Caenorhabditis elegans: one gene and its partner. The protein of the gene in region 2 purifies or fractionates together with the protein of the main gene of each other region. This does not show direct contact. Each region holds a gene or a part of one and is shown on either strand. Other genes may lie near its edges.

Region 1 (4,998 bases), on a different chromosome or scaffold from region 2:
CGATTTGCCGAATTTGACGATAAATCATTTAATAAAAATTCTGTTTTTTATAAGCGGACCTAAATTTTCCCGAAATTTCTGTTTAACTTGCCAAGGATATTGAATAACTTTCTTGGAAAAGTTAAAACAATTTTAAGAAGCATATTTCAATGCGAAAAAACTCACTCCTGCAGTCTTTTCTGTGGTTTGTCAAAACTGTACATACAATCGTCATTGGTGTCTGTTGGATCGATAAGTTGGATGTTTCCGTTAACTGAGATACTCAGTGTAATTGTTCTGGAAGGAAAAAGTCTAAAAATTACATTAAAAATTTTTTAAAAGAACTCAAAACTAAATATAACTATTGAAAACTTTTGTTTAAATTTTTAAAACCAAATCTCACCGTCCATCGATGTTAAAATACCTAAATCGAGTTGAAAACCCAAGATAATTAAATTGTATACTCAAAATTTGACGGCAATTTCAAAAAAATTAGTTTCCAGCCGCTTGGCAAGTCGGTCAAATTTCAAATTTTAACTAATTTTAGGCCATTTTTTGAGCCATCATAACTTTTTTTTGAGATGTTTTCAAGAAGTTACATTTAATTTTTAACAGTTACAATTGATCCCTAAACTCATTTTCTAAAATTTCCAATTCAAATATTTTAATCTTTCAAAAACTCACTTATCGGTATCATCACTAATCGATTTACCCAGTTCAATCTCCGGAAAATCATCAATTTTCAAGAAATGACTATCCGGTTGGTTATGCTTCACAATTGCAGTATGCCATGTGGCATCTGATAAATGTGTAACTGCAACAGGAGCATTCCCATCTGCTCGAATGAAAAAGTCGTTCTCAAGTCGAACTTCTGAAGTAGTATCACCGCATCGAAGTGTGAAAAGTGTCTGATTTGTGATGTCAGTCTTGAAAGAAAACGCATAGCTCCACTCCAAATTCGCCTCCAAATCAACTTCGAATTTGCCGCGAACAAGGCATTCGGGTTGAGGGATGTGTTTGCATAAAAGTCGAGTTGTAGTTACTGTCGGATTGGATTCGTTGTCATCTTCATCAGGAATCAAGTGACGAACTCCTGCGAATGTTTCGTCGAATAGAAAGTCTTGACGTTCATCTAGAAAATTAACTTTTTTTGGTAAATTCCAACTTATTTATATTTCCACAATTTTCTACAGAAATTTTGACGTTAAAAAATGGATACGTCAGTGTAAATGCGCTCTATTGTACAAAAAGCATAACCCGGTTGAAACAAGTTTTGATAAAAAAGGTTTTCCTCAAATTAGAGAATTTTTTGGTCACTTTGTTTTTCAAATTTTAAAAAATTAGGGGAGCATTTTCGAGAATAATTTGCAAAAATTTGCCTCCCCGCTCACGGGGTTCTGGCCTTCCTCATGAATTTTTCGCGCTCCATTGACAATCGCCTGCCGGACAACGCGTGGAAAAGTGTCGTGTACTCCACACGGACAAATACATCAGTTTTACAACCAAACACGAGCCGCGACGCGACACGCAACGCGCCGTAAATCTACACAAAATCTGTCCGACCCAAAATGGCCTAGTTCGGCAAACTTGCCATTTCGATTTATAAGGGAAGCCAGAATTCCGTGCCCGCTCTGACACAAAAATTCAAATTTTTTTTGAAAAAGTATTATATATTTTTAATTTATTCTAAAATTCAAACATAAATTAATTGGGAGCATGTCGTCACCGACTACAAAACAAAACAAAAAATTATCAGTAGAGCGCATTTGCACTGTGGGGTACTTGATGCTTTATAAGTAAGCTTAGCAGCCGACTTTTGTCTAGGACTGCTCTCTGCGCCACTCGGAGCAGCCGACAAAATCCAGGTTTCCGCCTTGCGCCTTTAAATCACAAACCTCCGCTATACTCGATCCTTGTAGTCTCATTGAGCAGTGAAACAACTTTAAGGCCTCCTTTTCCAGCTTCTGGGACATTTTTCCAGGTTACAGTGAGAGTCTGCGTGCAATGAGACCTCCTAACAAGCTCCCGAAGGTGGAATAAATCGAGAACTCTGTAAATAGTTTTTTAAAAAATATTTTAGGAAGTCTAGATCCCAGATCCAGATGATCCAAAACAAAAAAGACTCACTGAAAATTGACAGATTTCTTTCCCATCACTTGATACGAATTTTCGAGTGCCGAGTGGATTTCTGTGAATGCCACGTCATTCTCGAATATACACTTGACATTTGACGGGGCTGACGAGTGACCGGATATAGGAAGTACAGAACTTGTTCGGATTCCCGCCAAATAGTGATTATAGCATGAGAAACGGGGTTGAATATCACCTGGAATGAAGAGAAAATTGCATTGATGCGAAGGGGGTCTAACCTGTGACCTTTTGAGTGTTAACCGGAGCCACTATCTACTGAGCCATGCGGTTATTACCCCATTATCAAGTTTTGTGATTTTTGCATACTGTACCCGGTCTCGCCACGACAATTTTTTTGCTACATGTAAACGGGTGTGCGCCTTTAAAGAGTACTGTAGCTTTGAAATTCTGCGGAATTCACGATTTAAAATTTATGTGGTTTCATTTTCTTTTTTATAGCCTAAACACATTTTTTCAATTGAAAAATTAACAAAAATTGATGAGCATAAAAAATTTAAAGGCGCACATATTTTTGCTTTATCGTGTCGAGACCGGATACCGTATTTTTGGGGCAAAAACGCACCGTCTGGGTAATAATTTTTTTCGATAAAAATTTCAAAAAAAAACAACGAAGCTTTTTGCAACGAAATTTTTTTGAAGTCGATACTTTTTCGATTAAAAAAAGAAAAGAAAAATCGATAATTTGCCATATAAAAACTAAAAAAACCTATATTTTTCCAAAAAGAATTCAAAAAAAGTATATATTTTAAGAACATTTATGAAAAAATTATGAAAAATTTCAAAAAATCGGTAATTTTTCTAAAAAGTTTAAAAAAAAACAATTTTTTGCCGGAAAAGTTTAAAGTTTGCAGCAACGAAAATTTGAAATTACAGTACCCTTTAAAGGCGCACACTTTTTTTCCAAGCAACAAAAAATGTCGTGGCGAGACCAGGTACCGTAATTTTGGCCGCCTCTACTACCCGGGCCTCACAACGAGTTGCTAAAAAAGCTCACCTTGAACTAAAACCGCTAACAAATGTAAAATAAGAGCGAAGCGCAGCGGATTGTCCTTCCGCCTCTCGCTGCTCATTTTTGATGAGCAAGTGAAGAAAAAAAAGTGGGAGATTTGAAACCTGAAATGGAAGATTTTGAGTGGGGTTTTTGAAAAAAAAAAGAGTATGAACTCAAAAGATAAAAGCAGGGCTCAAGGGAGGAGGAGGGGCAGATGAAAAGTTTCGATACATATTCCCCCAAATAATCGTGCATTTCCGGGGAGCCAGGAGCATGAACCCTGGAGAGCACGGAAGCGGAACGGAAAAATGGAAAGAATATGAAGTTGACATGGTGAAGAAGGAATAATGTTCAAAAATTATTAATATTTCAAAATTTCGGAGGAGGTGGAAGCTAAGATTGTCCGAGAGGAGCCCACATTTATTTTTTTAAAAATTTTAAATTTTATTCTGATTCTCCCAGAGGTCTTCAAAATTTAATTTTGATTTTAGGTTTTAAAAAATTTCGATTTAGTAAATTTATTTCTCAATGAAAACGTTAAAAAATGAGTAAAAATTCGAATAAATTTGAATTTTTTTTTCGATTGTCCGAGAGGAGTTCAAATTAAAATTTTGATGGAAATTTGAATTTCAGAAAAGTAAGGAGTTTGAAAATTGGTATTTTTGAAGAAAAAAAGTAGAAAAATTAAAAAAATAAATCTAGAAAAGTAAAAAAAAATTTTCGGGTCTTCCGAGAGGAGTTCAAAAGCAAATTTTGGTGGGAATTCAAATTTCAGATAAGGTAATGTATTTTTAATTTAAACACCTGATATTTTTGAATAAAAATATTTTCAAAAATTTTCACAAAAATATTTTCAAATTTTTTTCCCAAAAAAATTCTGCACTTTTTTTTGGGACCACCCCACAAAAGGTTAAGCTTCTCATAAAGTACTAGAATATGTGGGGGGGGGGGGGTTAAATGAAGGGCTTAGTGGTCCTCGTCAGGGGTGGCAAAATGGGCGGGGCGAGGGAATGTCACGAAACGTATGTTTAATAAATCATCAGAATCGGAGGAGGGGGACAAAAAAAATGAAACACAAAAAAATATAAAAAGAAATATGGTGGAGAAAGTGTGGGAAAATAATGGCAGATTTGGAGAGAAAAATATGGAAAAAAATTATTTTGGTTGTCCGAGAGGAGTACAAAACGAAATTTTTAAAAAAATTGTATATCTAGTCACATTCATATTTTAGAAAATTCTAGGCCACTGAGGTTTTCTAGGTCATAAGTTTTGCCCTGGTGGCCTATAATTTTCAGTGGCAAATTAGAATTTTAGGCCACAGAAGTGCAATTTGAAAATTTTAGGCCAGTAGAACTAGGCCACCGAAACTTTATTGCTAATTGATTTTTTTTTCAATATTATTTTTGGCATAGAATTTTTTGCCATGAAAAAAATGCACAGAACAAGAAAAATTTCATATTTTACAGGAACTTCTTTTCGTTTCGAAATTTTTTCTGTTGTATAGAGATGAGTCATGTGTGCAGGCAATTGAGACGGTTCTCATGTCCTCTTTGAACTTTTGTGTTCGATAAGGAGACAGGGAAAGGAGAAAAAAATAAAGAAATTTCACAACGAAAAAAGTTGCGAAAACTCGGCCACCATTCTGGGCCACCAATTGTTTTTTCGGTCATCAATGTTTCTCGGCCACCTATTTTTTCTTGGCCACCAATTTTTTCTCGGCCACCAATTTTTCTCGGCCATCAATTTTTTTTCGGCCACCAATTTTTTCTCGTCCATTCTAATCAAAAGTACTGAAAAATTTCTTTAAAAAATAAAACTCGGCCACCAATTTATTTCTCGGCCACCTATTTTTCTCGGCCATTTTAATCAAAAGTACT
Region 2 (5,280 bases):
GAACCGTGTTTTGGCTATTGGCTGTGTCAGATGATGAATTATGAATAAGGAATTATATTTATTGTGTGCCCCTCTCTTTCCATAGCCTTCCCAGTATTCTCTTGTTCCTCCCAAAATATCGGATGTCAACCTGTTTTCGTTTTCGAATTCGAGGAACTGTTTAATATTACTACCGGATATGTATTTGCGAACAATGCAAAAATCCCAAAAGTTCATTCCATGATAACAACAATTTACAAAAAAAAGTCTGAAGCAGCTGTAAATTGAAAATATTGAAGATTGATCTATTTTCGGATACTTTAAATAATGTAGTAAGAATGAATTAAATTATCTTAGAAACTCCTTTTTCGTATACCGTACTTCCTCTGAATCGACTAAAAATATAACTTTTGTTTAAACCTAATAGCAGGAATGCGAATTTCATAGAATTTTTGGGTTCTTTCCAAGAATGTCTTGCTAAAAAAAACCAAAAATCCACATACAAGTTTATTGGATATTTTCAAAATTTCTTATTTTTTAATCCAAGAATTCATGTTTTTTGTTGCTTGGTAAAATAAATGTATCGCATATCCATACGAACTAGTGCTGATCATCTTTGTTGTTAAATTCTAACTTGTTACACCAATTTCTTTACACCAATTCTGGGACTGTTTCAATCAATCAATATTCCATTTGACATGATTGACCTCGTTGACTCATAATCATGATCATCATCCTTTTATCTTGTAAGCATTTGACTTATTCGTCGTACTCCGTCCCCTTCGCGGCGGCGTCCTTCCTCTTCCGTTTGCCTCGTCTTTCGAATGCTCCACCTCTATTGACACATGCATGCTTGTCTTCACAACTCTCAACTTCTTCTTCTTCTTGTTCCCCTTCTTGCCTCCCTTTTTCAACCCTTGATTTTTGCATGTTCGGTTCTTCCCTTTTTCTACCTAATTTTCAATTCAAACCACACATGTTATGCTTGAAGAAAGAAGAATAAGAAGAACTTCTGTCTCTTCGCATTCTTTTGCTTATTCTCAGATTTCTTTTGGCGTTTTTTTTCTTCGTGCCTCACTTCACTCTGCCGACTGAGCTCCCCACATGAAACCATGACAACCAGCTCAATGTTTTCTCTGGTTTCTCATTTTCTTAACTTCCCCCAGCACTCAATATTTCATTTTCTGATAATCGGATGTGAAGAGGAGATTAGATGGTATGAGTAGGAGGAGCAGATGCTGACTCTCGTGCTCTACTTTCTCAGCTTCAACAAGGCTCACATTCCGTTCCAGCCACTTTTTCTCGTTTCTAGAATCTTTTTCTAGAATTCAATCATATTTTCATTGAAAAAACAGCTATTTATCTACGTCAGATTTTGTTCGTTTGCCTTTCTTCCTCCTTTTCTTTTTTATTCTACTTTTTCCAGTTTCTTAGATTTCAACCCTCGTTTTGTTTCAAACTCCAAATCCCAAAACATTTTAAAACTAAATCCTGGATCTTTGAAGTTTTAAATCAAAATAATGATGCCTCTTCAACGAATTCTCATATTCAATATTGCCATTTATTTATAGTCGGTGTTGAGTAGACGCACGAATAAGAATGAGAAGACCCGCTGCTCAAGAAAAAGCTCAAGAAAGCAGCCGAAAACAAACCTTTCCTTGACACCTAATTGAAAAATTCCCCGCATTTTCTTTTTTCTCGCTCGTGCCATCCACCATTTCATTTCGAAATGTTAGTGCTCCTGACGGCTTACCGGAAAACTATGGCGTGACCAGTGCCAGGAGCTGCAGAGCTGAAACGATTTTCACAAAAAAGAAAAAAGTCGGAAAAATGACGTGTGAGGGTGGAAAATGATTGAGGCATGAAGTAGTGGTGGACAGGGAGAGAGATAGAAAAAATGTGGTTCCGTCTTTTGAACACATTGTTTTGTATATCATCACAATTTCTTTCAATAAAAAATCTAAATCTAAATCAAAAAAATATTTTTTTAATCCAGAGAAATACGAAATCCGTAGAATTTTGATCGGTGGGTTAATCTCCACTCAATTATCTTATTGAAAATTCCGGTATTTAAAATCTACAGATACCCAAAAGCCTAGAGTTTTATCATTCCACTAAGACTGTTAGTCTGTTTTTTTCCAAACACATCCACATTTACTTCCTCCATTCACTCAACACATTTTCTCATTTTTCTGCCCTTTTTGTTATTTCCTTATTCCTTCAATTATTTTCTTCTCACCTTCTCTGCTCGCAGACCTCTACTCACGCACACAAAACCAATCATTTTTCAGACGCAAATTCCAACCAGGCTCTCTTACTCAAACCCACATATGCGAACTGCGTACTTTATTTTTGTCGGCGCCCTTCTAGGCGTCTCCTACGCCAAACATCACCATGCTGCTCGAGGTAACACTTACAGATTATTGGCCGTTAGTTCTTAAATTCCAATCTATTTTCAGCGCCAATAATCAATCTGCAAGGAGCCGAAGAGCTTGTGGCTGTCGTGCGAGAAGATGAGAACATTATCTCGACCGTGCCGGATTTTGCAATCCTCTCTGAAACCGGTGAGTTGGGAGATTAAAATAAATTGTTTTCAGCTCTTACGATTAAAAATCATGATTCATATAGATATGTTTATAATCAAGCCGGCTTGTTAGATCACAAGAAACTTTAATTAAATTTTATAGTTTTCCTTTTTCCTAATTGAAGGTGTGAAAACTAACAAACCTAATTAGAGAAATACAAAAATTCAGCTACTTCCTTTAAATAATCATGCTCATTAGTATTCATGGCATTTACATTCTCAATCTTCTTCTTTTCCCTCGTGTTTCCTTCCTGACATGCCCACCTCATTTGCACAAAAATCTCATCGAAAAAGCAATGCAGCCTCTCATTAATTGTTTCGTTTTCTTTTTTCATGTTTCTTCTTCTTTTCACGCATTTTCTCTGTTTTCTCTTTGATGATGAAGCATCGTTGTCGTTGTCAGCCTGGCTCCATACACACACACACAGGATTACGAGCCACCGACGACGACGACGACGATGTAGAACACGAAGGGATTGACGTGGAAAAGAAAGAGAAAAGAAGAGGGATTAACTATGACATGACATGACAGCCGATGATTCGAGAGAGCATGAATTGAAAAAGACGGGTGATGGAATGAAAGACAAGCTAGAAAAATTGGAATATCTATCCACAATTTGAAATTGAAACAAAAATAAAGCGAATACAATTTGAGGGAATTTTCAGGGCCAGTATGCAACTACCTCCTTACATCACAGAACAATGAGCCAGTGCCATTCGACATCCAGGTTGTTGATAAGTACACTGGAGCAGCTGTACTTCGAGTTAAGGTGAGACATGATGTCATAATGTATTTTTGGAGAATAGGCATCTAATGAAAATTCCAGTATTCATATTTTAATTCGTGTGTATCAGATAATTAGTGGAAAACCGTTTTGTAAGCTTAAAAATCAATGTGTTCTTAGAAGGAATTTTCATTAAACTTTATTCAATATTTCTAAAGAAAATTAATTCTTGATGAGTCACCATTAAAGTTCAAACATTTATTATTCAGGATGCTGCCACACTAGACTGCAAGAAGCCAGAATACAATCTTCAAGTTCAAGCTGTGAAATGCGATAACGACAATGTGAAGAGTGAAGGAGTGTCTCTGAAGATCCGTGTCAAGGACACCAACAATCATGCTCCAGAAATCGAAAACCCTTGGTACACATTCCACGTGGAAGAGGGAAAAGTTGTTGAGGAAGTTGGAGTACTGAAGGCATCTGACAAAGACTGTGGACATCCAAACGGAGAAATCTGTGAATATGAGATCACAAATGGACTTAAGGAACTTCCGTTCGCCATTAACAATCATGGAGTCCTTCGTACAACTCAGCCACTCAACTTTACTCAATCAAAATCATACATTCTCACTGTAGTCGCTATTGACTGCGCAATGAGGAAAAGCAAAAGTTCTCTGGTCACTGTTCACGTTGATGAGAAATGTGTTCAAGGAATCACTGCAATGAATGAGCGTGTCAACTATGCTCCAGGAGTTGGATCAAAGCTTCTCCTCCCAGACGTATCTCTTGAATTCTGTGAAAAGGAAACAATTTGTGAACCAAAGAGTGTGCAGTCAGTCATTGAACTTCGTGCTGGACACGTTACTCAAGGTTGTGCAAGAGACACTGTCTATGATAATCAGACAATTCAATCTTGTGGACTTTCAACTGCTACTGTCAAATTGCTGAACGAAGAAGCCCTTACCAGCTCGGCTGAGAATCAGATTCTTGCTGATCAAGGAATTGAGTTTGATGGAGCCAGAGGAGTGACTGTCTCTGATGAAAATCATCAAGGACTCATTCCGGATCACTTCACATTGAGCTTCTCCATGAAACATGCTGCAGGAACTAAGGACGAGCAAAGTAACAAGCAGAACATTCTTTGCGAAAGTGATGATTTCAGTGAGTTATCTCTTTTAGAAACAACCAGTGAATATGTGTTTTCAGACATGAACCGTCATCACTTCTCTGTCTACATTCGTCACTGCAAATTGGAGGTTGTTCTCCGCCGTGAAGCTGGAGCCACTTCAGACTTCCGTGCTGCTGAATGGCGTTGGTCAATGCCAGAAGTATGCGATAATGAGTGGCATTCATATTCACTTCTCTTCAATGGCATCGATGATGTTAATGTTATCGTCGATGGAAAGAGCTTTAAGGCTGACGAACGAAATCCTGAAATCCTCGACGATTGGCCGCTTCACAAGACCAAGGCAACAAAGACCAAACTTGTTGTAGGAGCGTGCTGGCACGGACGGCAACAGAAACTTGCACAGTTCTTCCGTGGACAACTTTCCTCTCTTTATCTTCTCTCTGGAGCTGTTGAAAGTGAACGTGCAATAAAATGCGCTCATACTTGCCCAGAACAACTTCAGTTCACCGGAGTTGATGAGCTTCTTGAAAGCCAAAGTGCAACATTCTCTCCAGATCAAACCTCTCTTACATTGAAGGCTGAAACATCAAAGCAAATTGGTCAAATGCTCAAGAGAGTTGCCTATGTTAACACTCAAGAGAAACCAGCTCCAGGACACCGTGTTTTCCTTGTTGAGACTGAGGTTACTTGCAAACAAGATGACAAGAAGATGAAGCTACCATCCAGCAAAGGATACGTTTTTGTTCAACAAGCCGCTGAACCAACTCTTTCAATCTCTGCTTCGTCTCAACTCAAAAGTAATCAACACATGGTTAAGGTTGGACAAGCTATGGTTCCAGATCTCACCATAACCATCAGCCAAA

Evidence for each region.
Region 1: the proteins of casy-1 (region 2) and bam-2 purify together in Caenorhabditis elegans (affinity purification with western blotting, with the first as the bait; one study listed by BioGRID). This does not show direct contact.

The regions. Positions count from the first base shown.
Region 1 is NC_003279.8:2,954,668-2,959,665, forward strand, and holds the start of bam-2 (Neurexin-related protein bam-2), read right to left. Parts: upstream 3,244-4,998; 5' UTR 3,201-3,243; coding exon 3,125-3,200; intron 2,306-3,124; coding exon 2,107-2,305; intron 2,030-2,106; coding exon 1,875-2,029; intron 1,112-1,874; coding exon 664-1,111; intron 277-663; coding exon 166-276; intron 1-165.
Region 2 is NC_003280.10:5,953,674-5,958,953, reverse strand, and holds the start of casy-1 (Secreted calsyntenin-1), read left to right. Parts: upstream 1-2,270; 5' UTR 2,271-2,309; coding exon 2,310-2,385; intron 2,386-2,438; coding exon 2,439-2,543; intron 2,544-3,229; coding exon 3,230-3,333; intron 3,334-3,557; coding exon 3,558-4,449; intron 4,450-4,494; coding exon 4,495-5,280. UniProt on the Caenorhabditis elegans protein: Cell adhesion molecule involved in associative learning and memory.